Styela clava: one gene and its partners. Each later gene encodes a partner of the first gene's protein in a complex. Links are inferred from orthologs where the notes say so. Each region holds a gene or a part of one and is shown in the gene's direction. Other genes may lie near its edges.

Region 1 (7,979 bases):
TTGTCACCAACAAAGCAAAATGCACCGAAAGAACACTCAATTGAATACCGATCGAAACGTTGAAAATTAAAAACTATTAAGGTGCACGGATAATAATACCTTGGTTTTAGTTATGATTATCTGGCAAAACATTAGCTTGCTAGATCAGAAACAGTTTGAACGACAGCTTCGATGAACTGAGGTTATCTGAAAAATCAAATCTTGAAATACAAAAAGTTGTCTAGAAAGACATTCAAAGCTAATTATTTACAAATCTCTATTGTATCAGTACATTACTTCCTACCATACGTATGTTTCTTAATTAAGTATTTCGCGCTCCCTAACGCAAACTTTTAAAATAAATTACATATGTGGTTTTCTCAATTTACACATCAAAATATAACATGAAATCTTGGTAGATAAGATGAGCATAGCAGAAGGAATACAAACAATAATTATAAAAACAGGCGGCCCTCAAAACTCTCACTCCTGCGTGAGTTATTCTTTGTGTTACATTCAAAATTTATTGAGGACAAGCTGTACCCACTGCGTTTAATATCGGTATCAGCCAACAACTAACATACCACTAAAATATAATGACTAATGCGCTGAAACACGTCTACGGTGTAGTTTCACCTCACAATGAATCTATGCCCGGTTGTGTTTCAGGCGTAGTTCCTTTGTTAGGTAAATAGTTAATAAAGCTACTAAAGTAAAGATTCACTACTAAATCATTGGTATAAAGAATTGCATTTGAACATCGCATTGTTGAAGGTAATTTTTATAATTGTTTTGATGATAACAATATATATATAGAAAAAACAATCGACAGTGACTACAAAACCAAAATAATATTGTTAAAGAAGAGCAAAATATTAGGAGAAGCACATGTTTTTTAGCTGTATTCAAGTTGAAGGACACGAGTTGGTGGAATCTCGAGCTCTCTGTTGACTTCGGAAGTGATGTATTGGTGGAGTAGCATTCTCAGTTCTGCATTCTGTTGCCTAAGGCTGTCTGTTTCTTTTATTTTAACATCTCTCTCTGTGAGTACTTTGTGATACTTGTCAAACGCTTGTGTCAGTGCATCCCACATCTTCAGTTTGTGCTCTGGAATGATGTTTGCCATTGACTTCCAAAATTGTTCGTCTTGCGAGCCATCACGTCCTGGTGCAGTCAGTTTGTTTGTACCTTTCGATTTTCTTCTTTCTGTAGGTTTGATATGTTCTTGAACAAATTGTTTCAAAACCTTTAAAACTTCATTTGGATGCATATTTTCTTTCCCGTCCATAGTAGATGACACTTCATGATCAAGAGATGATTCACTCACTTCGTCACTGAGTTTTTCTTTGTGTTGAGCAAAAAAGGCTGCCAATTTATGGATGTCATCCTCTGATTCGATATTTAAAGCTTTAAATATTGCATCCAGCTTGATCAATGACCTTTCTTCATTTTGAAGGGGACGTAACAGCTTGTTCAACTTTTCCTCGACAAGAAATCCAGCCTCATCACATAATAGTTCCAAGACTTTCTTAACAGCACTCAAAGAAACTTTTGTACTTGAATGAGACTTTTCATCATCAAATGTCAAAGGCAAACTATCATCCTGTTTTGGTTTTGCCACTGATGCCAAAACTTCTTTGGCCATCATCAAAGCAGATTTTTCCTTTCCTTCTGTAGCTGCCAGCAATGGACCACGGGAATCCATGAATGCGGTATCAGGAGCAGACCACGGCAAGCCAAGCTGTTGCTGATGTATGATGCAGTCTGTATTCAAAACTTTATCAACAAGTTTTCGTACTTCTTCTTCATTCATACACCAGATATCATGAAATTTTTTGTTATCAGTTGCTGAGAAGTGCTTCATCTTTTTATGTAATTCCTTGTATTGCTCTGCTATTCTTTTGTAGTCATCAACGAGTGATTGATTCTCATCTTTGTATGAACGTTCCTGCTTTCCTAGCTTGATTCTAAGGTTATTCAAGACATCTTGAAGTCTGGTAATTTTTCTTTTCTGCTGTGACTTAGTGATGGTATTTTCCTCATCACGTTTTTTTAAGACTTGAAAATTGTATTCTAATTTTTCTTGATTTAACTGATATGTAGCTTTCATTTGTTGCAATTGTTGCTCCAGAATTTGTACATCAGTTTCTAATTTAATCTTCACCATGTTATATTCTTCAGCATCCTGGGTGCGAAGTTGATCCAATTGGCGCTCATGTTCCTCAACTCTTTTTTCTCTCAGTTTCATGTGATCTTCTTCTTTATCTCGTCTCTGCTGCATCATTGAATCCCATTTCCGTCGATCAGCTTTGTTCATATCACTGCGACCATCTGTGTAAGCATCTTCAATTTGTCTCAGCTCTTCTCTGTGTGATTTTGTTAGATTTTTAATTTGTTCTTCCATTCTTTCAATAATGAGATCAACATCTTCTGATTGCTTCTTCAAATCTTTGACATATTCATCATCTTTTTGTTTTAACTCTTGTTGTAAAATATTTATCAATTTATTTTTTTCATCGATCACAGCGTCACAACCTGTTGTTTGCTCTTTCAACATATCATGTAAATCCTGAGGGATCTCCTTCATGCGAGCTGCTGACCATCGTTTACTGATTTCATCGAATTTTTCAGCAGATGCCTTTGCTTCTGCTTCAAGTTTTTCAACCCTTGCTCGTTTAGCTTCTTCTTCAACAATTCGATGACCAGACTCACGAGCATCACCGGCAACTCGTACATTTGTTACAAGTTCATTACCATCTCCAAGGAGTTTTTTCAGGCGTTTTCGACTTTCTTCAATCTGTTCTTTTCCCTTTCCTTGTTCTTCTTTGACTTCTTTTTTCATGAGAGCATCGTCACCCAGAGCTTCTCTTTTGAGCTGCTCGATTCTATGTTGGATTCGGATCCTCCTAGCAAGGATTCTTTCTTCTGGATTTACAGATTCAACCGAAGGCCCACTTTCTTCGTCCCCATCGTCAACATGTAACATATTTGTGGTATGATATGAATCACAAAAACTATTTAACACTATAAATAGACATAAAATAAGATATATTACTTAGTGATAATTAGAAAACACAGAATCAGAATTACTCTGTCATTCAGAGAATGTCTATAGCTATAAGAATTGATTTGATACTTTTATACCGGGTTAAACCCAGTAAATTAATCCGAAGTTTATTCAGTTACCTGAATATTTTAGTTTGCCTTGTTTATACAAAAAGTCACTGCCATTTCAAACACTCAGTGCATCACAATCAAGAGTTTCTGAATTTCTAAGTGACTCAATTTAATCCAATTCAAATCGGTAAGAAGCAATTCTCCAAAATATGGCTCAATTTTATTAAATAAATTATTGGGCAATGAGACAATGTCATGATGAAGTAAGTCTAGTTGTCACAACATCAAATAACATGTCTCCTTCAGTTTTCTTAAATTCTTACATTTAGGGTGGCTTACCCACTTTGCGGCCATGACCTATCTGCGACCATCAACTTCATCGATTAAATTAATGCCGAAAAAATTAACGAACCGCGCCGATATTTCTCACGCGTTATCGTCCACTTATCCCTCGTAGCTCTACGAAATTACACTAAAATGCGGCCATAAATGAAAAAGTTACGACCGAAAACCTGACCGAAGAAAAAAAACGGACCATTTTACCATGTCGCCAACTACCCATTGTTCCTTCAAAAAAGGTTGAAAATCCATACAAATATAAGAGATAAAAAGATGAAACTTGGAAGGTGGGTAGAGTTGTGTTTCTTTTAACCATCTTTAAAGTTTCGCGTCTCTACCTTCAAAGGAGGGGGAGTAGGGGGGTGCGCATTTCCAATACGTCAATAATATCTTTGTCAACTAATTTGCGACCACCGTGTTTTTGTCTGTTTGATTGCTGTGATGCGGTGTTTGTTTATAATTTGAAAAATTTTGTTCGAAATAATCGTATTCTTAAAATATATGACGGTCAGAAATGCAATTAGAAGCCCATTTTTTCACGCATGGCTGCGTATTATCTAGTCTCGACGCAGCAGAAACGATGTTCAAGGATTGAAATCCGTGGTCGCACACTGGTCGTTCGGTCGCAAATACGTCTTCAGAGTGTCGTACTTTGGTGGTTTGTATAGCTTTAACCCCTGGTCGTAGAAAGTTAATTCGAAGTTCAGCGTGTAGAATGAATGCCAATGCACCTACGGTGAAAAAATTAACAGGTTAGAAATATTGGTTTTTGTTTTATAGGGGTTTGAATGAAATCGTCCGCAGACTGGCTACACCACCCTACATCTACTCTACTACTCAAAAACTCATTAAATTAAGTAAGATGTCTTTAAATGACCAAGATACTGCTATTATATCTATTTAGGCATGACTCACTGGAAGACATTCAGACCTCACTACTTTTAGAATTATAGAAAATCACTACAATAACACATTTTGTATATATCAGTAGCGACATTTGTGAGAATTCTCTGACGGTCAGTATCAAATGAAAATCCTATACCCGCTATTGTTTAAAAAAAGCTTACATAGCTGCATATTTCAGTATTTGTCTCGACTACAATAAAATAGGCGTTCGATTTCGACGCATTCACTTTTACCTGACGACCCGTGTTACGGTACCGGTAAGTCTTCCTGCTAGTCATATTTCCTGCTATCTAGTCATAAAATAACCTATCTATAGTTCGAATGCAATTAAATTCAACAAAAACACGATGCTACAGACCACTAAACAGAATTTGTTTCGAAAATAGAACACCTATTCTATGCTTACATTCCTAATCGCGATCAACCTTTTCAACTAGTCATGCCTGGATGATAGTGCTTCGTTTGACTGGTTGCTATGGTTATTATAAAAACCAATGGTGCGAAAAAATTGGCAATCTGTTCACGATATTTTATACTGAATCCCTTTTTTGCTTAAATATCATAAAAAAATTCAATCCAAAGTATTTTATATCTATGTGAATACATTTATACCAACAATTTGGATCCTTTCGTTTGCAAAGTACAGCCCGAATCCATAGCAACGCAGAAGCGCGAAGTGCTTGCCAAAGACTAAACAAATAACACTTATTTTTTTGGTGCTCGTAGTGAGCGGCTAGCGCCGTGATTTTCCATTTTCTGTTTCCTCTGCATATCTCCCTTCCTTGAATATATTTGATTCAAAAATGAGTCGCCTTTATGACACCGTTGAACCTGCGGTAATCGACGATGAAATGCTCAGAAAAGCTGTAGAAGAGCAAGGCCCGAAGGAAGAAGCTGGTCGAATTGCAAAACAAGAAGGAATTGATTACAAAGACGTGTTGTCATTAAGACTAGATTTTAGAAGTAAGTGGTAAAAACGTTATGGCGAAATATATCACAAAAAGGGTAAATAAACCTGTAAATACAATGACAGACAATTTTTTTTGAAAACTTAGCTAGCTAGTTTTTATTTTTACTTTAGGTATATTATAAGTATAATAAGTATAAGTTTATTTCGACTCCATAATCAGCAAAACAATAAAATGAATGCTAAAAATAAATAAATAAAAACTGATTATGAAATCAGGAGAGCGAACAAAACCCTAGATAAGGTTTAAAACGTACAGAATGTATATAAGATGGAAGGTTTTGCCAAGAAGATGTGGTACGTGTTCACTCACCTAAAATAATTGAAATATTTCACACACGCTCACACGCACCCACACACACAACCATATAGAAGTTATTAAGTGAAGGGAACAGGAAAAATTACATCTTACATATTATGCTAAATGGACAATATTCATATTTTGTGGTGATTATAATGAAATTTCAAACTTGAAGTTAGGAAGTCGTGCATATTAAACAATTAACAAGTTTGTACGAGTCAACTATTTTCATGCTCCACTCTGTTGTGTTACCGAACTCGAAAAAAGGGGTCTCCTGTAGTTTCGTACCCATTGTACTTCTACTAGGCGTAGCATAACAATTTTTTTACAAGTCAGTCCTAACCCCCACCTGACTTCGCTATCCAAAAATTACGTCACTACGACGTCACAATCACGTCATAGAGCTTGCCAAACACACATCCGATCGCCCGAAATGGCATCGGTGCCGACGATGAAGAACTGACTAACGTCAGCGATCTCTCTCCTATCAGGATCGCTGCGGCGAAAAAACGAGGGAAATAGCTGTCCGATTTCGGGTTCTCTTCTGCGCGTCTTGGGTGACAGTTCGTATAGTTTGAAGGGCTCTATTACGTCACTGTGACGCCGTAGTGACGTCATTTTTGGATGGTGTTGTCAGGTAGGGGTTAGGATTGACACGTGTTAGTAAATATAATTTTATGAAGTAGAAGCCTTCTACTCATATTCTGACCTGTCAATTTCAGTCTAAATTATCTCTCAAGTTTTCATTTACAATCTTTCCATAGATCTTGCAGTTATTTTTCTCATTTGCTAAATCCATAAAAGCTTAAATAATATGGCTCTTGATAGTTTGGTCAAATATTAGAAAACTTTATTACTGATGCCCATTTGTGATAAATGCAATGGATAAGTTATCTGCTCTGTTTAATTTGTATCATCATTTTATTTTTACTTATTTACAGATATATTGAAGATTGATAATCTTTGGCAATTCACAAAGCTGACAAAATTACAATTGGATGACAATATTATTGAGAAAATTGAAGGATTAGATCAATTGGTCAATTTAGTATGGCTAGGTATGATACTCTCTTTATTTTATCATAAGATGTTATTTCTATCCTTCTTTCTAGTGTTCCCTGCCATCATTGTTTTAATGACATATGTAACTCAAGTTACGTTGCTTTTTTATTATTTATTCATTTATTATCTTGAAGGGGGGGAGGACTTTAGGTCAGAAAAATTTTACAATGAAAGGAATTTTTTGACATAACAGTTGAAAAAGTTAAATTCACCATGAAGTAGAAGCTTCAATCATAAATTGGTAAACCTATTTTTGTATTCAAATATAATTTTAATTACTGTATATTGATTTCAAATACAATGAATTACAGATTTGTCTTTCAACAACATAGAAGTGCTAGAAGGTTTATCAAAATTGACCAAGTTAGAAGATCTGACTTTGTACAGCAACAGAATATCTCGACTAGAAAACATGGATTCCCTCAAAAATCTACATGTACTTTCTGTGGGAAATAACAAGCTTAATCAGCTTGACAATGTAAGAAGTATTCATGTGAATCGCCTTGAATTATACAGTAATCAGACTCAAGTTGATTCAATGAGCAATTTTCATTTTTTTTGCTCATTTGGTATTTCTTTTAGAAAGGAACTAATATTTAAATCAGTGTTTTTCAAATGTTTATGATTTGTGGCATCCTTCCAAAGACCTTCGGTGACCTCGTGCTCTTCTAGTTCTGACTTTAACATGAAGCGGGGGCCCAGTTTGAGGAACCCTGATTGTGCATTTTCTACATCAGTTATAACAAATACTTCCCAATATTTAATCAAAAATGATTGAATTGAGGGTCCGAGTCATCCGAAGTCCATCAAAATTTAAACTTCGAGTTCCATTTAAAGTCACTGTACGTCAAGTCACAAATTCAGTCAAATTGCTATTGTCCCGATTTGTAGTGTATTCCATGAACAACAGTGCATTAGTCATTGACTCTGCTTGAGTCTCCTCAACATTATATTGAAGTATAGCCTTTATGAATTATGTTATTTCAGCTCATCTACTTGCGTCGTTTCACTAATTTACGGACATTGAATTTATCTGGTTGTCCCGTATGTGATGATCCAGGATATAGGTTATTTACTGTCGCTTATCTCTCACATCTCGTGTATTTGGACTTCAGATTAATTGATGAAGACACGGTAAGCGTATGTGATTTAGTTTCATCTGCAGTGAAAATGAAATTAACTGTAGTTAACTTTTTATGAATTTTTTAAGTTGTTGGTTATATGAGATGCAATTTCTGTTAGTGCATTGTTATTAAGTATGATTAAGTCATATGTTCTATAGCTCAATTTTAAGCCCTATGCTATACT
Region 2 (7,537 bases), on another chromosome or scaffold:
GCATTTTCGTATATGTTTCAGGTCATGGAGAAATCCAAACTCAATAATACCATACTAAGCAAAATTTGGAAGTTGGCAGATCACGATAAAGATGGTGCATTAACTGATGAAGAATTTGCTTTGAGTATGCATCTCATACAACTGAAAGTTGATGGGCACGATCTTCCTGACAAATTACCAGAACATTTAATTCCGCCTAGTCAAAGAAGTAAGTCCCAATAAGCCTTCGTGTGAGGTTTCCTTATACAATTTTTGCTGAAATTATCAGTTGTATTCTCTGACAGAATATAATTCCATTTATCAATATTTTGAAATTTGTAATTCAATTTATCATGGTGTTTCATCTTGCATGAATAATGTAAGCGGGGTTCGTGAAATTTGAACATTTTGAGGTAGTGTTGATGGTTCTTGCTCTGGTGATTCCCCAACACTGTGATATAATTCGCGTTTTGTTATTACATTATCGGTGAAACAACAATTTCGAATTCCTGGGACATCAATATTTTAAATTACCTATATATGCCAAATAGGATTGAAATTTTTATACTTTTATTGTTGACTTGAACAATGTTCATTTCATGCATGCTTTTTATCATATTAAATATGGCACCGACTCAAAATGCTTTCACATACATTTTCGAAGTTTTAAACATTTTTGATCACTTCCTACTGTGTGTCACAGTTTTCAAATCTCTATCACTTCATAGGAAAAACTTAATATTGTGATTGGGCAGTAATGAAATAATATTGGGCTTGTTAATTCTTTAGTCTTTGTTAATCCTGTCATAGTATCACTTTTAAAGATTCTGATAAATGCAATATACAGTTTTGGTATCTTTCAAATTTGGCTCGATTTTGATCGTCTATTCTGTTTTGTTTGATTAATAATTTGATCTATTGAAAAACGATGGCCATGATTTACCTTCGAGCTTTTTGATCGGAATCCTTCAAACACCTTGGTGAATGCTAAGCCATCAGACTTGCACTAAGAATGCTTCACACTAATGTGTTTTGAATCACTTCTTTCTAATTGTTTGCTGTTAACATTTTTGCATGGTTTGATTCAGCAACAAATCCATTTTGATCAACTTGTATGAAGAATATGTGATGCTTGCGAACTCTTGAGACAACAGGTACAACGAACATGAAGTCTTGAATATGTTATTGTAGCATAGTTTCTTGCTCAGTAATAGTTTCAAGAAAAAAACAAACAGCTGTGCTGTCTGTTTTTATGGAAGAATAAAGAAATGTATCTATGTTCAGTACTCAGAAAAAAATGTATGGTGATTGGTGAAAATGTATTACAATCTGAATCACTCATAAAATTGCCTTTCATTGCATGCTTCTTTGATGACAATATCGTTCTATATTGAATATTTTGCTATGCCAATCCCTTGGGAGTGTATTGGGCTGATGGTGTTTTGAAACCACATTGTTCCGCTTTTTCTGGGTTTGTCATGATCTTGCTCAGTAATAGTTTCAAGAAAAAAAAAAACAGCTGTGCTGTCTGTTTATATGGAAGAATAAAGAAATGTGACTATGTTCAGTACTGAGAAAAAAAAAGTATGGTGATTGGTGAAAATATATTACAATCTAAATCACTCGTAAAATCGCTTGCCTTTCATTGCACGCTTCTTTGATGACAATATCATTCTATATTGAATATTTTGCTATGCCAATCCTTTGGGAGTGTATTGGGCTGATGACGACTTGAAACCACATTGTTCCGCTTTTTCTTATCGATCCAATAGCAGTCTAACTAGTGGTGATATCTCAGAACTAACAAAATTGATAATTATTCACCCATTCTCTCTATTGATGTTATTATGTTGATTTATAACAATTGTTATTCTGACATCAACGAAAGCAGTGTTCTCCCAAACTTTTTCGTCATGACCCATTTTTTTTTTTGCTCTTCATGAACTAAAATAAAAATGAAGTAGATTTTAATGCAGAAAAATTAAAAATATAAAATAAACTGAGAATACTATTATTGTGCTTGCATATTTTCGAACAGAAGACCGAAATTAGTAGTGTCAAAAAAGATTAATTCGACTCCCAGCGTGCTTTTTCACAACCCATGGGAGATCGAGACCCCCAGTTTGGAGAGTACTAGGCATGTGTGTTGGTATGTTTCCTGATTGCTTTTATACATGCTTTTAGCACTGGCTCATTTTGAATGCACATATTGATATTCACACCTATTGCCAATGCTATCTACTTTCAATCTTATATTAATGATAATATTGGCATTGCAGAACCGAATGGAGAAATATAATTTCAATCAGATCATTAAATTTCATTATCTCTCGTTACGACATCATTGTTCAAATTTTGGATCACCTTGTTATCAGAAGAAACTACACAAAATACAACCATATGGACCTTCAATAATGGCTTGTTACTGGGATGAAAATATGTTCATAGCTGAGAGCTGACGCTTTTATAAAGCCTGAATATTTGGCAAACTTAAATTTTCTTTGGATTTTTTGATGAATGTACTTTTTTGTGCTTCATGCAGATTTATTTGGTTTAAATAGTGTATAAAATAGCAGTGTAATTTGTCTTCACTTAAGACAAAAGCCATCTTCCATATTTCAATCCAATGATGGCAACTGTCCAAGCAAATGCACGTGAACATGTTCTTATTTTTTTATTGAGAATGTTGATCCGGTAGACAAAAATGTAATTATTTTATTTCTTTCTCCATTTTTTTCATTAACTTCAAGTCTAATATCTCTAAATGTATATTATACCTTTATTTTAGCATTTACTTATTATATACTATATTACTGTCGTACTGTTCATAACCAAGTTTGGTGTCTTAACATTAAAATTAAATCGATTCTATCCTATGATCTGTTTATAATATTCAATGACTTTCAGCTTTTATCAAGAACTAAAAAAAATTCAAACTTTGGTGCTGCTTTGTATCTAATTTTCCGATCTCCCATTGGCATATTTTGTATGAAAGCAGTTTTTAAAAAACTTTACAACTCAAAATCTCTTGTCTTGCTTTATTAAAATGATTTTCAGACATTTAAATACTTTCTTCAAAAGTCCGAATCTTTTTCATTCATACTTTTCATGCAGTATATTTTTCTTTTGAGGGGATGATACTGAAACAGTTGTATGAAACAAATTAGTAGCAAAACTGTCACTCTAAACGGTGTCATAAAAATAGAATTAACTAGATTTAAATTGCTAAAAATAACTTTGTAGATAGAGCATGATTTTATCAAATATTTTTATTTTCCCGTTTTTATTGTATACTGCTCAAAAAATGAAACAATTAGTTGTTTATTTTTTGGTAATTTTCTTCCATGACGGCATTAATCTGGGAGATTGAAGATTTGGAAAATCAAAGAAAAACATTCTCGAACAAATTAATATTATTGTATTTGTTCAAGTTTCACCTAATATAAATTCTGAATCATTAACTGGAGTTCATCATATTCAACGATTATATCATCAGTCAAAAAGAATGTTTTTATTCTGAAGATTTTGCTTGTGATATTTTTGGGCAGCTTTCAGCCCATTTTTGGATGATACTACCTTGGTAGGAAGTCAATCATTTGTCATGCATTTTTTAAATTATTTATCGCTCTAATTGCAATTTATTCCACCAGGAACGATTCAAGTTTAATAAAAATATTCTGGATTTACTTTCTCTTGACAGTCCGCGGAAGTCAAAAGACTGCAAATTTTTTCACAACCACATATTTTTATGTGCTGTTCACTTTTGTTTGCCACCTGTCATATTTAAGTTATATGCATGGTGTATAATTAACTCGTGTCTTTTAAAATGTCTCCAGCTCAAGTTGAATTGTCAAATGAATGGTGAACCAGGAATGCCTTTTGTACTTGTTGCTGCTTAAAATGTTTCGTGACTGCTGATGCATGTTATGCTTAGTAAAATAAAGCCGTCCCACGTTTCTGACTCGAATTTTGTGTTTGGGGTATTGTAGTTTGGAAAGGATGCTACTCTGTAAAGTTTTCATCTTTAATTAAATTTGATATTTTAAAAGTCTGCTAGCTTACCCAAGCTAGTGGCCTCAAATCCGTTATAAAACTAGGTATGCAAGCCATTAATTCAATTCGTTTATTACTCCAGACCGCTGTGGTCCATATAAAAACAACACAACAAATAAACATAAGCAAACAAAAATAACGCAATAAATACATAAAATACCTGATATGACAATCAGATTCACAGTAAGTCTCAAAAAAGAGTTATAATATAGCAATTCAAGAGACCAAAAGTGAGGTATAGAATCTAAGGTAGCCCGTGACAATCTGTAAAATGTTTTGTCTAATGAGAATATTTTATCAATGTACAGTGCAAAAATCAATATCAAAAAATGAGAAAATTTGAAATAATATTTATGTACAATTCTAAAAACAGTCGGCTGTAATAGAACTGCCGCTGAAAGTTTGTGGTCGTTAACCCACGGAAAGCCAGAAAAAGATGTGGCATCAAATTCTGCCTGATAATAGATCCGCCTTTCGTCATATTTATATAGTTTTATCATTTGAAATGTCATTAAATTTTGTTTACTTGCATATTATTGATAAAAAATGAATTTTCAAATCGGTGTTTCGGTATGGAAAATAGATTTCGATGGAATTCGCTGTAACAAGCAGATACGTTGCCATGGTTACTAGCTCGCGTTGTTTAGCAGTTGTGGTTTTTGTCTCCGCCAGTGCTTTTTGGAAAGGTGATGGCTTTGTTTCTAAAAGCGTAAAACCTGTTCCTGTAGTTATTATATACGTTTCGTTTTTATACTCGTTTGAGAAACGGTTACCGGAACTGATAATCAACATGGTCGTTAAAGACAGAAGATCCAATGTTAAAAAAGATTCTTTGCAACCTTCAGCAGCACCCACGATTCCCAATGATACAAAGGTTTTAAGAAGAATAATTGCAGAAGATCCTGATTGGTCATTAGCAACAGTACCTCTTTTGAAAGATTTAGTGATAAACCATATTGTTGACAATTTTGAAAGTAAGGACTTGTCTAACTGTTTAAATACACTGTTCTGCTGATTGGTAAAAAGCATGTCATATCGTGAGACCACTGTCACACTGCTGGCTCAGATAAGTTTGGGCTATATATCAGATTATTATTTACATGGAAAATAATGTACTCTAATAAAAATAACCTCCATTTAATGTAATTCCTATTAAACATATTCAAAACTGAATTAAAATGATAATAACAACAGCTTTAGCGTATTTATGTATGTTACATTTTTCCAGAAAATCCAATACTGAAAGAACTTCATCCAAAAGATAAAAACAAAGTTCTTGATAAAATTGCACCAAAAATAGATATCATTGTAACAGCTCACTTGGTTGAAGATGAATCCTATTGGAAAAGATGTTGTAAAGCTAAGTAAGTTGCGCCAAAAAAGTTTAAATAATAGATAAATAGAACTCATACCCGTATCAGGTTAGACAAATATTTGAAAATTCCAAGTATTTCGTTTCTCTGGATCTTTTACATGTGAAGTTAGTGTCTTGTTATAACCTGCTCAGCGATTGACAGACCACACTAAATCCTGTGCGGATAGTGATAATGAAGTGAGAGAGTATTGCACACATCCCACCATCATAAGGTGGTTTTACATCCGGTGGCCAGTTACACCTTCCTTCCCCAGTGAAACAACTATCAGGTTAACTATTCCCATACTTGGCATGAAATGGTAATTGGTTGAGAGTCCAATGCCATGCAATTAGGTGCCATTAACTTTCCCCAAGATAGATATGAGAATCCTCTCCTGATTTGATCAAAGTTCAAACATAATTTTGTAGATACCACATATGTGACGTCACCAATTATGGTGGAAGCTGGAAAAGGATGTTTTTTGAAAGATATATGCAAGATGTTGTGGAAAATTTTGTACCAGAGAAAACTAGCGATGATGTAGTTACAAACGCCATTCCCCTATGCTCGAAATATGTCAAAAGATTAGACATCAAACAACTTCTTCCTCCTGTAAAAGAACCAACGAAACCCGGAGTTCAAGAGGAAGAAGCATCAGATATGGGAAGTGATGCAGGAACGGAAAGTCCTGAAATGGACCACTTTGAATTTGGAGAACTTCTGGAGAAACTTCCGAATTTGGAAGAATTCAAAGTAACTTATGGCGTGCGAGATTGTGGAATGAACTTTGAATGGAATCTTTTTCAATTCACACAACGAGATTGTCTTCTAGTTGCAAAAGCACTGCGATCCTGCACATGGTTGAAAAAAATATGTGTTCATAAAAGCAAGGTAGATGACGCAAAAGTGCGAGTTTTAGTTAGCAATCTTCTCGATCATCCTTGCCTCACTAATCTGGATCTTTCACATAATTGCATCGGTGATAAGGGTGCAAGAGGAATCGCAAAACTTATTAACAACAGGTGAATTGCTAATTTGTATATTATCGAGCTTACTTTAATTAGAGTAATATCATTGAAAATTGTTTTAAATATGTTGCAGATGCCCAAACCTCACTTCAATTACCCTTTGTGATAACATCATAAGACAAGAAGGAGCAAAAGCAATTGCATATTCCATCACAAAAAATTCAAAATTGAAGGCTCTCAACCTGAGATTGAACAGGTTAGTGTCAATCACACACTTGCACATAATTTTTTTTTTTTTAATTTCTTATATGGACATATTGCGTGGTACCATCATACACATATTGTTTCCATTGCCACGGTTACGATTATACCTAACCAGATTTAGGTTAAAAAATCAATTCTAAAAGTATTCATTTCATGCATTATAATTGCCATCAAATAGGTTTTGTTTGTCCGCCACTCATTGGATATAGTAAATTCTTCAATAGTTTCTAATCTCCAATTTGAGACACATAATAACAATTTGAGAATGCAAATGTTTTGTTCATCTGTTTGATGAAGAGTAACTAATTTTTTTACAAATTTAGGCTCATTCAGTGTCAATTTAATAATATATATCGGTTATTCCGTTTTGGAAATCCCAGGTTCAATTCATAATGAAAAACCATTCACATTAACAGAATGGGTGATGTTGGTGGTCAGGCCATTGCAAAAGCACTTTTGAACAACAACACATTAGAAGATATCAACTTATCATGTAACGACTTGACTGAACCATCAGCTGCTGTTTTCTCTCAAGTTCTCATATCTAACACTGCATTAACAACAATAAGTCTTTCAGGAAACAGAATTGGGCCAGTAAGTTGAAGTTGTAATGAAACTTATTCCAGCAGATGGGGATTTACTCTAATTGATGTGAGTCTCAACCATTCCACATTCTCTCTGCCAGGCAAAGCTAACATTTTTGACTTTGCCACCAATTACACACATCAGCTTTGCTAAATTTAAAATGGCAGAGATTTTATCGATGCCATATATTGTTTTGGCCCTCACAAATGTAACTTGGACAATTACTGATTAAAAAACAACAACCCTGGTCAAAATATATTTAGAACTGACTTCGTAACAAAATTGAAATTTTAAGGGGACTTTATGGACACCATGTATATTCTAAAATTGAGT
Region 3 (8,016 bases), on another chromosome or scaffold:
TGAAGTATTAACATAAAATAAATATTTTTTTATAATAAATATATATATTTTCCATATATTTCAACCTAAACATCATAGTATTTTATTTATTTACATTTCAGACAAGAAGCCACATCGATAAGAAGGGTTGGCTCTTTCAGTAAAGATTTATCAATAGAAAGAGATAATTATAATACCACAGTAAGTAGTTTTGTGAGTGGAATATGAAAAAACATCATGAGCATATAAGTCTGGAAATAAATAAGCTCTGGTTTAAATGTTGGTTGATAGCTAATCATAGGTAGATTGGTGACTGCTAAGCAGTAGAAATGTGAGTTACCTTTTGATGGCAATTCGGAGTTTTCATATTTATCCCACGGAAAGGAAAGGCGACAAGATAACTTAATTACCGGTATATGGTGTACCACTGCCTATCGTCCCGTCACCAGTCCATGTTGGGTATACCGTATGGGATAAGTTAGCCTGTTATTAATTTTTTCGGGATTGCGGTCACCAGGGCAAACCCAGGGGGCATTAGTGGGTCGCTCTTTTGAAATGTAAAAAAAAATTTTTTATGTATCATACATAGCAATTTTTTAGCTTGAAATGCTTTTTAGACTAGCAAAACTCTTGAACGAATTCTCATTCATTTTTTTCAGGTTTTACTGGAGACATTCGATACAATCATGTCAAAATTGGATAAAGTATTTCGTAGTTCTGCATCTTCATCTTCATTCAGCAATATAGTGAGTGGATATTATAGTTTTAACCTTTCATTTGGTCTGTCACATCATTTATTGATGACTTTGTATTTACTTTCTATCTATAATATATTTTGAATTTGCATTGTGATTCTGGATTTATATATTTTATCTCTACGAACGCAGTCAAAAATTTGACTCAATCTGATAAATACAGTTTTGTCTGTTTGCCGTTTATTTTTTTTGCAATTGTAGTTTTGAAGGCCAACTTATTTACTTGTCAAACACTATCTCGAAACAAGTCATGTTCGGGTCGTGGCAAATGATATCCGAATAAAACTATGAACATTGACGAGAATATTTGTGTAGAAAAATGTTATTGCTATATACCAATATTGAAGAGAAAGAAAAACATTTTCAATACAAGGAGTTAACTTGTTAATTGTTATAAATATCAGATTAATACGTCATAGGTAATTGAATTTGTTTATGGTTTCCAGCATAAAATTAGTTCCTTAGAAAAGTGTCAATCTTTACTGTTTATGTGAACTTTAATTATGCACTTCCTTTTTGCTTATGGAGTCTACCTTTCATGGCTCAATATGTATGGACATATGATATTCAATGCTAATTTCATATATTGGGCCTGGCTTGAATATGTATTGATGAATGGTAACATATTTGCCAAAACTTTTTTTTTTCACAGCACGCAGACTGCATTCTTCAATGTGCATCTCTTTTGCTTTCAATTCCAATTTCCTATCCGAGATACTTCTATCAGAGCTTACAAACAACTACAATAAAGGTATGAGAAATATTTTAAATCGTTCTCGACTTGTTCTATGTCGAGTAAACAATTTGATTTACATGTCACTACATACAAAAGATAATATTGGTAGTTAATATGAAAAATAATGAACCTGTAATTAATTAGTTTTCATATTATGTTCTATGCTCATATCTTGCATTTTTAAAAAAAAAAAAAATTTTTTTTCAAAAATAGATGTTTTGCGATTTCTACTTGTGTAAGTTAATGTGCGATGTATTGTTTTGTATATAACCATTTTTTTTTAAATTTGATGAATACTGACATGTTTTTTAAAATTTTTCTAAGCTTGCTATATCACCAAGTCAGCGATCGCCTAATGATCCGGTTACTGTTGATGTGTGTGAGAGGTTAGCTCTCAAAATTGAAGGTGTGATAAGACATGGTGGACCTGGTGGTACTACATTGGGAGAAGCAGACAAAGCAACAAGCAAGAGTGGTTTTGGTAATAATGGAAAAGAAAAACGTTGTGCATTTCGGCATGTTTCTGAAATCAAATTATCACTAAGAACTAATCAAGCTCAACAAGGAAGGCAAGCATCTATGAATGTCAAGGTGAGTTTTGTCAACTTTTTGAGTGGTCATGATGTCTTAACCAATTTGCTTGGACTGAACTTGGACTAAATCATGTATATTTTTTTTTCATTAACAATGAATTGGTTCACTGTTTTTAGTTAAATTACTTCTGCACTATTGGTACTCACCAATACAGTGAGTGATACTTTTTTAATCAAAAGTCATGGGAAATTTGCGATGTCTAATTATTTTTGAAGTAATTTTACATAACAAAGGTAATACTTGTACCCAGTGGTGGGATTCAAATTCTTTGTCACCCGGTTCCATCACACAAATTCAGCCGGTTCTGTTACAAAAAATCATGTTTTTTTCAGTAATGCTAACCGGTTCGCTGATCTCATAAAATTCTGTGAGACGGATCTATAGAATCGGTGCGAACCGGCTGAATACCACTACTGCTTATACCTGAGATGTCAGCTAGTGGTCAAAATAAATCATAACCAGTAACCATCTAAAGTCATTCAGTCGATTAACCAACCCCAGTGAAGCGTTATAAGAGGCAGTAAATGTCGCCTACATGATTCCTCCAAGGCAAAAAAATTATTTTAGTCATCAATACATGTATACTAACTTATACTTCATAACATTCCAGATCAGATCAAAGGACTGAACATATCAGAAATAACAGTTTATTTTTAGTCCATACCAAAAAAAATGACTGATACCGACTTACATCGGTACTTCTTTAACTTGTATATGTACAATTCTATTTTACATTCGTTTTCTTAGAATAAAAAAGTTCTTGTTTCAAAATAATTTTCGTAAAGTGATCTTCAATCATTTCTAAACAAATTTAACAAAGAATAACATTTTTACAGCTCTCTGATTCCGGAAATTTTCTTGAAGAAACAGTGAAACCACACAATGATTATTTCAGCACACAATTTTTACTCTCTTTTCCTGCTTTGGGTGAGAAACCATCTTCATCTACTTTGTGCTGACTTAAATTCTCAGTTTATAGTTGAAAAATATTCACAGACCCTTCAATTTGTTTTACAGTTAATCAACCCTCAAAATAAAAAATTAGTCAAAAATTTTATTGGACACCTTGTCGAATTGAAAATATTACGATAGACCAGAATATTCCAATCATATTATGACAATTTTTTTAAATTTTTTTATTGAGGGTAAGAGTGTTGATTTATGTTGTAATGGCCTGCCTGACTTGTACTGTTTTAGCAGACAACTAATCTGGGCTATGTCAGTAGTGATATGAGCAGTGGGATTAAGGGGGTTTGCACAGGTTTGTGTGAGCCTGTTATTGGAATGTAAAGATAATCGACAATCCTGTTTTCTTGTTATTATAGCTATAAGTTCGGCATGGTTTTCTAAAATGAGTGAAATAAGAGAACCTGTTCCTGAAATTTCGAATCATTTCATATAAGCTATATGATTTTGTATATCAGCAAATAGTTGCATGGGAAATCTGTGCCAGCTATTGTCCTCACAGCAGCAGAGAATTATATTTGACACTTTGACAGCCTTTTCTTAATGTACTTATGTCAATACTTTCATATGTACAATATAAAAATTTGCAAAACTGTCATAAATGCATAATTGTATTTCACTTGTTTTCTAATCAAGGCAATCATAATATCATTGTTGAATCGAGTTTGATAGACGAACATGGAATGTGTTGGAAGTGTGGACCAACTGAGTCATTGACAGTACGAAGTTTGGATGATTCTATAAGAGTTAAAAATCTGATTCAACAGAGTCAGGGATCTCATAAATAGTCTTCATCTATTGTTGGAAAAACTAGCCTGTCTTTGCTAAACTATTGTGTTGCGACATCTTACGATATCTACTGCAATAAACTAATACAACAATTTGTTTTGTATGTCTGAATGAATTGAAGAGATGAAGTCAAACCTATTTTTGTAGGCTACAGCACCAGAAATCAAATACTTTGCACTACAGTCTTTAATGTCTGTACTGTAACAAGTCTATGATATTTTCATATAGTGCTCTGATTACACTGTGTGGGTTCGGATCCTGTGAGGTATAATTATGTGCGAGAGGATTGCTGGACTCCTCGTTTCCGTAGGGTGGTTCATGTAACTGCTGGTCGGTTACGGCTTCCTCCACTATCAAGTTCATGCATCTGAAACAAATAATTGGCTAATTAACCCCGTACCCAACATGGACTGGTAACTGAACAAGAGGCTGCGATTTCCCATATGATTAAGCTGTCTTATCGGCTTTCTTATTCTGTGTGAAATCTATATATCCTATGCCCTAGAATGGGTTCCTATGATTCCAATATCTCGTTTTAAGATGTTCGTTTTTAAAGTCTTTGTTTCGATCATCAGTTTTGTGGTTTTACTGTTTAATAAAGGATTTTCATAGCTTTAACAGGGGAGAGGTGGGTGATAAGATGAATTATTTATTTGCTTAATCGAATAATGACAGTCTACCAGTTGATTGCTCCACATGGCGAAAGAAGGCCTAATATTAGTATACCAATGATTATGTTTCCACAGATTTCCTGCGAACTTTTACAAAATAATCGTAGATGCAATGAAAATGGTATTCCTAATGCGCAGGACAATGTAGTTCCACTTCGTGTTTTACAACCTCTTAAACAACTACAATTTAGTAAATGGATAGATTTTGTGTCTACCGATCTTGTGTATATATTTAAAATATTGAAGTAACTTTTAGTCGTATGTCGAGATATGGGGAGCATGATATCCGACTGCAATACATGGTCTCGCTTATTTAACATTGAATATTGTTTGTTTCAGGCGGCAATAGATCATAACAAAATTATTTTAAATGTTGCGAAGAAACGTATCATGAGCCATGAACATTTATGCAAACATATTTGAAGTTTTAATATCGTATCAAAAATTATCCGGATTAGTCCCAACAGACGCCTGTTACTACCACTACTAGCCGATGATTGTTATGGCGACCGTCATGAAACGCTGACCCTGGCATCAACAAAATATTACGAATAAGATGGCGCTTATGGAATGAGCCCTTTATGTTGTTACTCCAGATTTTTCTGTAATATTGGTTTATACGACTGGCTACTGAGTATATTATCTGATTTGTAGCATCGAAAATTCTAGCGCAATGACTGATTCCGGGGAAAAAGAATCGGCAGGTAAAACAAGTTTCACTGAAAAGCTTTGATCGCAACAAATTATGTAATCCAGTAATCGAACTTGATTTAATCTTACACTATTGCTGGTAAATTTTCACGGTCTGACTGTCCTAGTACCTATATACCGTAAAACTAGATTTTGTGGCTTTTGCATATTGATCTACAGATCTACAGGATCTAGTAGGCATGCTTAATTACGGTACCGGTAGTCTATGAGATGAAGCAGGTACGGTACCAGTGGTCTACATCAGCAATCCTCTGGATTAATACCATATGGAAACTCAACACTGTATGGCATGTCTGCATGCATGCTTGGTGGTGTGGCAAAATTTGCTAAGCGTTGTGAATACGCTCGCCACCACACCTCCGATCATCATGCTGCCATGCGTGGGTTTGCAGCTTCGAATACTTTGGGGGATAATTATGTGAAAGAAGATTGCTGGAATCCTTGTCACCGTAGGGTGGTTCACATAAATAACTTTTGGTCAATTACAGCTTGCTCTGCCATTAGAAGTCCATAATATGATAAAATAAATAACTGGCTAACTACAAACCAGATGAGAGGCCGCAGTACAGCATATGATCGATCAAGCCGTCCAATCGGCTTTACTCTTCTCAGGATAAATATGTAAATTCTATTCTAGATGAAAAGTGTATTAGATTTTGACAATTTTACCACATAAGTGTTTGAAACAAGGAGCATTCAAATTTTTCGAAGCATCACACACATTATAGAAAACTTTATTTCCTTAATTTGCTGTAGTGAATGTATATATTTTAAGTTAATGTATCTTATAATTTACTGCATATTTTTCGCTATTGCATTTGGAAGTTGAATCCTTTGCCAAACTATTACAAACATGTATATTTAGTGAAAATTATTGAAATATATGTTTAGATTACTGACTTAATTTATATTTCAGAGTCTATGCTGGCAGAAATTGAGAAGAAAATTACAGATGCTTTTGAAATCTTTGACCACGAAGCAAACAAAACAGTTGATGTTAGAGAAATCGGAACAATTGTGAGATCACTAGGATGTTGCCCATCAGAAGGTACTAGTGTAGTTTACTTATGTTTGTATCTTGTATAATTTTTTCCAGTTTCCGTTATTTAAGCTAATAGCCTGTCTACAATTCTGTAATAAAATGTTAGGTAACTATTGGCATATGTGTCGCAGTGGTATGATTTATTTTTGCAAATGTTTCAGACATTCAACTATCAGTAGAGGTTGCGCGTGACTAACTGTCTCAATCTAACGTTACAGAAATACATTTGTGTTAGTGTGCAGCAAGACTCTTGAATTGCATAGTTTTAGACATTGTTGTGATTTAATAAACCGACGATTTGTCATAATGGATGTACAAACTGCTCGGCTCACATTGTTCAACATAACTGTGATATACTTTAGGGATCAATTCAAGCAGTATGATTATTACATTTTGAATAGTCATCAGTGTTCTATTTTCAATTCAGTATGCTAATGCTAATTTATAGAGCTTGCTTTACTTTATACATAATTGTTTGTATGACTTCATGCAAGCTGTCACTTTAATATATTAGCTACTGTGATGAAAGAAATTTACTCTCACATTGTGTGTGAAGTGGTATGTATGAGCCGACAACTGATATCACTGATCTTAAAAAAAACTGAACCTTAATTTCTAACATTCAATGCAAAGTTAAATTGACTGTGATGTCAGGATCTTAATTTTACATTGAATATCACAAATTTATATTAATTGAAACTATGTTGATATAGGAGAGTTGCATGATATGTTGGCTGAGATAGAAGAAGAGGAACCAACAGGTTACATACGCTTTGAGAAATTTTTACCTATGATGACACATGTTTTGATGGAACGGAGGTATGTTGTCGTCGTTAAAAAGATATTCGCTACTTTGTTTCTGGTGACCCCACATAGAATGGATATGCAATAATCTTAAATGTTGCCATTATATATTGATTGTATTTTTTGTTTTTTGACATATAATTGCATCATTAAATTTATCTGTTTTTTTCAGCTATTATATATGTTAATTAGATATTGTTATATTCAGCAACAGAACTATGTTGAACATGAGAGATGGGTGTAAAAAGAGTTTTAATTCAACTTTAATGTTTATTGTCCAACTCCGCGTTATTCCTTGCATCGAGTCTTGTAATGAAGTTCAACAGTTGCGTCATTGTTTTGGATGATATTTGACAAAAAGTTCTTTTAGATCATAGAAATCACAATACAGCATTTGCATGTATTATCAATCATGCTTAAGGTAAAGTAATTTCCCTAGCGACGCAAGTATAAAACAAATATCGCAAAGTATTCTATTTCCACCTCCAGATATAAACCTTCACCTGAAGATCAGTTGCTCAGGGCATTTGAAGTTCTTGATCAGGATAAGAAAGGATGCTTGTCTCAGGAAGAAATCACAAAGTATATGACTGAAGAAGGAGAACCTTTTACACAAGAAGAAATGGACGAATTTCTCTCTGCTGCCGTTGATCCTGATCGTGGCGTTGTTTTATACAAAGACTATGTTTCTTTAATGGCTATTGAGGAAACTTGATTAAATTATAGCGTAAGCTAAAACTACTCCATATTGTAAACCAAAGTATTAAACCTCCAAGTCATTTGTTATTAAAAAAATGATTTAATAAAATTGAAGCTGTTTACTCTTGTTGGCCTTCATAAAAAGGTACTTATTGCTGAATGTTCATAACTTGATGGAATGTATAAATTTTAAATTAACCACATGACTTCCTCAGACATCTTGAAGTTCAACATAAACGGTCAATTTCTAAACAATAGGCAAAAAGAAAT
Region 4 (7,834 bases), on another chromosome or scaffold:
AGTCTCCAGACAAGCAGATACTGTTATGTGATGAGCTCATATTTTCTGAAGACATAGGATCCTTCTGGTTTGGTTTTTTTCTACCAATTTATCTCGCCCTGATTGGCGAAATGGGAAATGGCTTGTTCATATGCGAAACTATACCTTTTGTCTGTCATGCTAGGTTATTTGTTGGAAAAACCAACTAGTTACTGTGAATATTGTCTATAAAGGCTTTCATAAAACCTGGTTAAAATGTGTATACTTTTATTAAAATAGAAAGTTTTGATACACGACAAACATTCGTACGCTCATTTGTAGAAAAATAATATTCAAACACACTCATGCTCACGCACAAAAATTGCAAAAGGGAATTTATCGATACCAGATATTGTTTTGGCCCTCACAGATGTATCAAATGAAGTAAAAATACATGAACGATTACTGATTAAAAAACAACAAAACTGGTTGAGACAGTTCACAAACTTTTTGGGCCGCGAGCCCTTGTTTGTGGATTTTATTTTTGACAGACCCTCAAGGTTTGACCTGTATTATGGCATCATACTGGTAAGAGCTAAAATTGCTGCCTATTACATGTATGTCTTTGCAAATCGATAAAATTTTGATTTTCTTGCCTGACAGCAATTGATATCGTCTGCAACGCTCAACCAAAAAGACGCATTGGAATCCATCATTAAAGATCGATTAGATTCGCTTCATATCGTAGCAGGCCCCTGGTACAGTCGTCACAGGAAACCCTGGGTTAAGATATATCGAAAACTGACTTCATAACACAATTTATGGACACCCTTTATATCTCAAAATCTTCCTCTCAAAATGTGTGCCATCCCACCGGCATAATTAAATAACACCTCATATTCATTACTCAAATTTACTGCAGTATAAAAAACATACAAAATTGCTTAAAATCATCATAGCATCTAAAGCACATGTAAATAGTACAGTTACTATTGCATATTTTCTACAAACCAGAGTCCACATTTCACAATGACATTTTTGTATATGAATATACAGGGTAGTTGCTGGAAAAGCAGAAAATTTTAAGGTCAGATGAGATCACGAATAAAATGCGTGCTTACTCACTTCTTTACCGATACATTTTAGGTTCTAGGTTTTCTTTAGTTCGATACCCTTTCTGTAATATTCTGTGTAGTATTATAACATAGGCCTTCAAAAAACTTTGGGAAAGTTATTTTTTGTGAATATAAATAACTGTTTGGCAAATTTTTCGTTTTTCTACCAACCATCCTGTATATTAAAATGCTGTCATATTAAACAGATAACATACAGAAATCTATAACTTCCAACAGGTTTAGAGCCACCTCAGGAAAAGATGGTAGTATTTTGATCCATTTGCTGCAATCGCCAATCAGCTCACCTTCAGATTTTGGTGCTCTTGAAGTAAGCGTACCAAGATGGCGGACACCCTGAACGTAGTATGTGTACCAGGTTAGGGTTAGGCCATAATTTTATTCAAAGTTTTCTTATCATAGTATCTGTACCTAAAATTATGGCCTAACCCTACGTACACATACTACGTTCCGGTGTCTGCCATCTACTTCAGGAGCACCCAGATTTTTTCCTCAAGTATGAAATTTAATCTCAGTTGTTAGTATTTGTCACCGGTTAGTAAACAAATAATTACTGTTGCCAGTAATTTACAATTTCTCTGCCTTTGTGTGAATCCTGAGTAGTTTCCTTGTCCAGGATGAAAATAAAATTTTATAGGGTAAGATTTACATATTTATCCTGGAGAGATATATGGCGTATCACAACCTCTCGTCCAGTTACCAGTCCATGTTGGGTATGGGATTAGGGTAGATTAAAATTCACTTATTTATCCCAGGGAAGCGGAAAGCCGATAGACCAGTTTAATCATATGGCGAATCACGGCCTCTTGTCCTGTTACCAGTTCATGTGAGTTTGTTACGTGAACCACACAACAGCAGCAAGAAGTGCAGGGATTCGAAAATGCGAACCTGCGAAGGGTAATCGGTGGTGTAGCAACAAGCAAAATCCTTAGCACGATGGCCCACACTGTCGAGCCATGCAGCGTAGAAGCTATTGCATTGTCGACACTCATTTTGTTACTCATCCTACAATGGACACTCTTTTATATACCTTTAACAAACTTTGGAGTACCCCAGGGTGCATTGATCTCTTTAGTTGGCACTGGCAAGGGCATTAGGAAGTACAAAATTCCCCACGGCCATAAAACTTGTTTTATATTTCTCAAAAAGCCGAAATCGTATTTTCTAATATCTTTCCCGAATTCGTAAATTGTTTGCCCCCTCATCGATATAAAAAGCTCGGATAAAAAGTAAAATGAACCTCCTATACCTGTAACCACTGACCCATATAAGACTAAAATACAATACAGTTTGTCAAAATTCAAATTGCCTTCGCCGCTCCATAGGTAGTTGTACATTACTCCCGGAAAAAAGTACGAGAAAATTGCACTCAGAGAAAACTCTATCGTAACGTAAGAATAGTTCAAATATGATAACATTTGCTTGACGCAGTAAAGTGATCCAATCCCCACGTAGAATCTGTAAAAACAAGTGATTATTTTGAAATATAAGTATCATGAGGTTTTCAAAATTTATCCCGAGGATAGGAAAGTATATATCGTATTCTCTGTGTATTTTACTTTCTATAATACTAATTCACTTTCAAAGCAAATAAGTCAAATATTGTCTTATGAATAAGGTGCGTATTATGCATTGACATGTGAAATTCGAAAAAATATCAATCTATATTTTTTGCTCAACTGGCTAATAATTCTCACATAAATTAATCTGCAGTCTATTAATATCACATCATGCTTGTTTAGGTAGAACCATACCAAGTCCAACAAACATTTAGCGTTAAAAACAGGCAGCAAAAGTACCAAACAATTCAATAACTCAAACGTCGATTTGAGACTAATATAAACACAAACAAAATTTAATTTAATAAAATGTTCAAACTTACGAGAAAGGTAAAAAATATCTAAGATTCTGGATTCCAACGCATGTCATGAAGAAGTAACAATGATGATCTCGCTTCAAAATACATTTCTGACACACGGGGCAGTGGTGAGATCGTGGAGGACAATGTTGTTGACACGTCATGCACAGAATCCAGGATTTGGGGGGAGGATTGAGAATTAGACCTGAAGAAAACAATTCATAGTCATCCATATTTGTTAGGAAGCGTGAGACATAAATTAAGTGAGAGTGCATAAATACATATTTGAATTTTTTAATTCCGCCCCTTTGCCATATTTCGACGCTATATTGTTGTCAAATTTCATCAAAGCTGTTATTGCTTCTAGGAACAGTTTTAAATTAGCCAAGTCAGTATTTTGAAAAGTAATCGAATAGCTCGCGGAGCCCCTGGGTTACTCTCGCGGAGCCCTGGGGCTCCGTACGGAGCACTTTGAGAACCTATGTATTAGGCTATTTGTATTCATTTGGCGACGTTCAACTGTAGGGAGCACCGAAGCGTAACGTTAATGGGAGAGCTTATAGGTGGGATAGGATTTACATATTTATACCGGGGGAGAGGAAAGTCGATTGGACGGCTTATCCATATGGCGAACCACGGCCTCTCGTCCGGTTACCATTCCAAGTCGGGTATGGGATAAGTTTTATTGTTTGTTTTCGGAGGCATGGACTTGGTGGTGGAGGAAGCCGTAACCGACCAGCGGTTACGTGAACCACCCAACGACGGCGAGGAGTCCAGCAATCCTCTCGCACATAACCATCCCTGCATGGGTTCGAACCTGCGAACCCACGCAGAGTACTGGAGTAATTAGAGGTGCGGTGGCGAGCGTATTCCTAACGCTTAGCCCATGGAGCCACACCGCCGCGCTTATATTAAAATTATTCTTAAATATGGGATAGGTCTCATTTTGGGGAATCACGGTATGTACGGTTATACTGTGATGAAGAAATATTGATAATGAGAGATAATGATTTATTTCTGAATGGTACCACATTCAGACATTACAGCATTAAAAGACTCGCAAAAAATAAAGATCATAAAATATATTCATACCATCTGTGTATGTAGAATTATAAACTGTTCCAAGTATTTGATTCCCGATCATGTTGATAAACAAAAAGAAGAAAGCGAACAAGTTCCAATTATAATCGTCGTCGTGTCGGTAGATAATCGGAAACGCAATAAAAAGGCAACAATACAATGCAGAGAAAGCCAGAAGATAGAAATAACCAACACAGCAGAAATGTATCATAGTTATATTCTCCTTCGCTTTCATGGTTTGTGTGAAATCCATCCAAAAACTTTTCAGTAAACCCATTATATAATCTTGAATCACTAAAATATCGACAAATTTAGAAACTGCTGTAGTGTGTAAAATACAAAACAAACTGACGAATCCTAATCCGTGGTTCCGTGCTGACGTACGAAAATCAGTTTGGCCTGAATTTTTTCATTTTCATCAACAGTAATCATATGGCGCTGGTGTTTACACAGATAAAATTTTCACAAACAAATATTTAAATTATATAAATCAAAAAATCGGTACGGTATATACCTATATCTCTTTCAAATTTAAAATTCGCAACAACCTACATTTTCGGATCACTGACCCGTGACTTTCAGCTTACCTATTTCGAAATTTTAGCTCACAGTGACTTTAATTTGTTTGAATTTTTTGAATAAAACTAGAATTTTTTTACAAGCTTTGAAAATGTAATAAAATTACAACAATATTCCCAAAACGCTGGATATTGATTAATTGACCCGTAAAAGTCATTGACCCATAAGATGTGATATTTGTTACCGTAGTTACGCCGCGAGAGCTCTGCTGGTTTTCGACTTTCTGAAAAGTCGTTTCGGTCCTTTCCTTTCAGTCGTTCCAATATTAGTCTATAACTTTCAAAAATGGATAAAATTGAAGAAGCGACGACGAGAGAAGAGGAAGAAGGCGAGGAGGAACAGGGAGAACAAGAAACCGATGTCGAGAGCAAAGTAGAAGAGTTGAAAGCTGAATTAGATGCCGCGATTCCACCAATTGTTGTTCCAATAAGCGAGTGAGTTCAATTTATTATTTTTTTTTCAAAGAAAAACTAAAAATACAATAAAGAAATTCCTACAAATATATATTTAAGCAGTTTGGATTATTCAAGCTATTCAGAATTGTGATTGAAAACTGTTCACTCCCATTTATAAAATTGATCAATTTGGCAGTGGCAATCATGATAAATTTATCAATATGGTGTGGCAAGTAATTTTTATTTATTTATTTTTTATTAACTACCAGTATGTAATTTTTCATGTTCCCTTCACTTAATAACTTCTAGATGGTTGTGTGTGTGGGTGCGTGTGAGCGTGTGTGAAATATTTCAATTATTTTAGGTGAGTGAACACGTACCACATCTTCTTGGCAAAACCTTCCATCTTATATACATTCTGTACGTTTTAAACCTTATCTAAGGTTTTGTTCGCTCTCCTGATTTCATAATCAGTTTTTATTTATTTATTTTTACCATTCATTTTATTGTTTTGCTGATTATGGAGTCGAAATAAACTTATACTTATACTAACTTCTTCTTTATGGTTAGCATGATATGCCAATTGCTGAATTGTAGTAGTAGGGTACAGTTGTTAGATTACGACATGCTTGTCTCTATAATATTTTAAATTGATAGCGACGTGGGTCAGTCATCACATATTCAAACTTTTTTTGTTGACGTTTTTATGCTTGAAACTTTATCATGAAGGGGCTATTCTTGGAATCAGAGAACTGTGCCTTACTGTTGTGTCATATTCATAACGTTATTTTAGGTTATGCAAGCTTGTGTTTTGTTGTGGGTAACTGCGCATGCAAAATTTTCCATTTATAAATTCAATCATTCATCTCGTGAAATGGTTATATAAATGAATGATTTCAACATCCTTTGTTTTGACCCCAAACCACCCTCCCACCAATCCCCAAAAAATGAAGATAAAATGTTCAATTACCGTCATCATAACATTGATATTTTGTTAATTTTCAGTGTCTCAGCTCAAATCCCAAAGTTTGATTTGTCAGAGTTTCCAGATTCGTACAAAGAAAACTCTCCAAAAGAAAAGTTAGTTCTGGAAAACGCAGAAAACTTTCGTCGGCAATATGTTCATCTGTTCAGAGATAGAAAACCTCTTTTCCTGAATCCATTAAATGAATGTGGAATTGAGGTAAATATTCTTACTCTTGGTGTCAATTGTGTCATCATCATAATTTTATAGAGTTTCGATAGCCCATGGCATCTTAGTGTTGTCTTTAATTTTGCTCAGAGATGAGTATATTTTATTCAGAGTTGGTGCATGTGACCATACTTTCAGAAAAGTGTCTTATAGAATGAAATAAATAAAAAAAAATTAACAATTATGTGTCAGAAGATTGTTGGTGTTCAACTCCTATGGTGTTCATCCATAAGTTCCCTCAGAACTAGAATTGGACTTCACCAAATTATTCTCCATCATGTATAGAACTGCTATGTTAAAACAAAAGTTTGGCGAAGACTTGTATTATGTGGAATGAGATTCTGCTTTTTTGTTTGCTACAAATTTTTCCTTTTAACAGAAATTTGTCTGTACTACGATGCGCCCAACACTTCTAAAATTCAAGGAACTTTATCACTGGCAAGGTTGTGCCGAGTTTGTGTCAGATTACATAACAATGATGCCCTTGGATCCCCCTTGTGACTTGCCGACAACTTTTTATTCTCCGACAACTATTTTGAAACAGCAAAAAGGTAGATTTCAAGAATTTTATTTTTAATCTATATGTGATACAATTTTGATGAAAATCAGAGATTGCTAAGATTGAATAATTTGGATTGTTTGTTGTTTTAGTAAAAAAGAATACACACCCTGCGGCACATCACAATGACAAATTGTCTAAAGTTGTATTTCCATTTTTTTTTGGCTCATCATTCAATTTAGCCATCGAATCAACTTTTCTCTTCTCTGGGATAAATACGAAACCAGGTTTAAAGTCACAGCATAGTTTAATTTAAAAATTATTGAAACAGATTTTCATACTTTTTCACTCTCTTTATGCCTACCTCTCTGAACAAGGCTCTGTACATGCAGCCATTTATATTCCTTGATATAGAGGGAGCAAGATTGTGACCTTCAATTTTCGAAAAGGGGGTTCTGACATTTTTAATTGCAAAGTTGGTGCTAGTTGATCCCGGCCAGAGGGTCTGGAAAGCATTCCAAGCTACGGAAAATTGGTATGTGTGATACAGAAAAAATACTTTTCTTTGACATTTTAAATAGAGCTGTTCCAATTTCGAACGTCCCCGGTAGGAAGTTGATTTCATCTCAGAGACTAATATTTGTATCTGTTTTTTATTTTTTTTCGATAGGAAATTGTTTCGACTTTAGCAACCTTCTTTGTCTCTTTCTTCTCGGAGCTGGTTATGATGCGTACGTTGTCAGTGGTTACGCGATAAAAGAAGTTTGTCTTTATGATGAATCGAGGGAGATTTGTCCTCTGTTAAAGAAAAAAGAAGAGGTATAATTATGTCGTATAATTAGCGAGTTATTAATTAATCAGTGATGGTACACGTGGTGTCACTATAGAGTCACGAATCGAGACCGCAGTTTCAATTCATAAGTCTTCAATCTCCGACCGATATTCTCGTTTACTGTTTTTTGAAATTTAATAACCTTGCCTCACACTTTGATTCCTTGCTTGCAACAGCCAATGGTCATTGAATCTGTGCAAAGCACTTCGATAGTTTTTTATTCATCTATCTCAATTGGTCTGTTAGACACTTTCGTATGTTATGCGTTATCTCACGAAAGCGAAGTTGAATCTGCTCCAAATTTTGCA

What was found.
Region 2: dynein regulatory complex subunit 3-like (region 1) and dynein regulatory complex subunit 5-like share a complex: the UniProt entries of both Homo sapiens proteins name them as parts of the nexin-dynein regulatory complex. The link is inferred for Styela clava from reciprocal best matches to the Homo sapiens genes DRC3 and DRC5.
Region 3: dynein regulatory complex subunit 3-like (region 1) and dynein regulatory complex protein 8-like share a complex: the UniProt entries of both Homo sapiens proteins name them as parts of the nexin-dynein regulatory complex. The link is inferred for Styela clava from reciprocal best matches to the Homo sapiens genes DRC3 and DRC8.
Region 4: dynein regulatory complex subunit 3-like (region 1) and dynein regulatory complex subunit 7-like share a complex: the UniProt entries of both Homo sapiens proteins name them as parts of the nexin-dynein regulatory complex. The link is inferred for Styela clava from reciprocal best matches to the Homo sapiens genes DRC3 and DRC7.

Annotation. Positions count from the first base shown.
Region 1 is NC_135262.1:17,139,215-17,147,193, reverse strand, and holds the start of dynein regulatory complex subunit 3-like, read left to right. Parts: upstream 1-4,967; 5' UTR 4,968-5,144; coding exon 5,145-5,304; intron 5,305-6,550; coding exon 6,551-6,667; intron 6,668-6,982; coding exon 6,983-7,149; intron 7,150-7,658; coding exon 7,659-7,805; intron 7,806-7,979. Other genes in the region: dynein regulatory complex protein 1-like, read right to left, coding at 875-2,965. UniProt on the Homo sapiens protein: Component of the nexin-dynein regulatory complex (N-DRC) a key regulator of ciliary/flagellar motility which maintains the alignment and integrity of the distal axoneme and regulates microtubule sliding in motile axonemes.
Region 2 is NC_135255.1:14,431,319-14,438,855, forward strand, and holds the start of dynein regulatory complex subunit 5-like, read left to right. Parts: upstream 1-4,517; 5' UTR 4,518-4,621; coding exon 4,622-5,006; intron 5,007-5,260; coding exon 5,261-5,396; intron 5,397-5,815; coding exon 5,816-6,409; intron 6,410-6,488; coding exon 6,489-6,611; intron 6,612-7,035; coding exon 7,036-7,213; intron 7,214-7,537. Other genes in the region: EH domain-containing protein 3-like, read left to right, coding at 22-208, 2,259-2,278. UniProt on the Homo sapiens protein: Component of the nexin-dynein regulatory complex (N-DRC) a key regulator of ciliary/flagellar motility which maintains the alignment and integrity of the distal axoneme and regulates microtubule sliding in motile axonemes.
Region 3 is NC_135253.1:7,972,419-7,980,434, forward strand, and holds the start of dynein regulatory complex protein 8-like, read left to right. Parts: upstream 1-5,005; 5' UTR 5,006-5,163; coding exon 5,164-5,194; intron 5,195-6,117; coding exon 6,118-6,249; intron 6,250-6,956; coding exon 6,957-7,062; intron 7,063-7,536; coding exon 7,537-7,762; 3' UTR 7,763-8,016. Other genes in the region: integrator complex subunit 7-like, read left to right, coding at 102-180, 639-725, 1,387-1,485, 1,795-2,061, 2,901-2,991, 3,667-3,818. UniProt on the Homo sapiens protein: Component of the nexin-dynein regulatory complex (N-DRC), a key regulator of ciliary/flagellar motility which maintains the alignment and integrity of the distal axoneme and regulates microtubule sliding in motile axonemes.
Region 4 is NC_135255.1:21,594,772-21,602,605, forward strand, and holds the start of dynein regulatory complex subunit 7-like, read left to right. Parts: upstream 1-4,819; 5' UTR 4,820-4,893; coding exon 4,894-5,042; intron 5,043-6,008; coding exon 6,009-6,186; intron 6,187-6,574; coding exon 6,575-6,746; intron 6,747-7,364; coding exon 7,365-7,513; intron 7,514-7,834. Other genes in the region: putative palmitoyltransferase ZDHHC24, read right to left, coding at 2,114-2,549, 2,974-3,154, 4,042-4,306. UniProt on the Homo sapiens protein: Component of the nexin-dynein regulatory complex (N-DRC) a key regulator of ciliary/flagellar motility which maintains the alignment and integrity of the distal axoneme and regulates microtubule sliding in motile axonemes.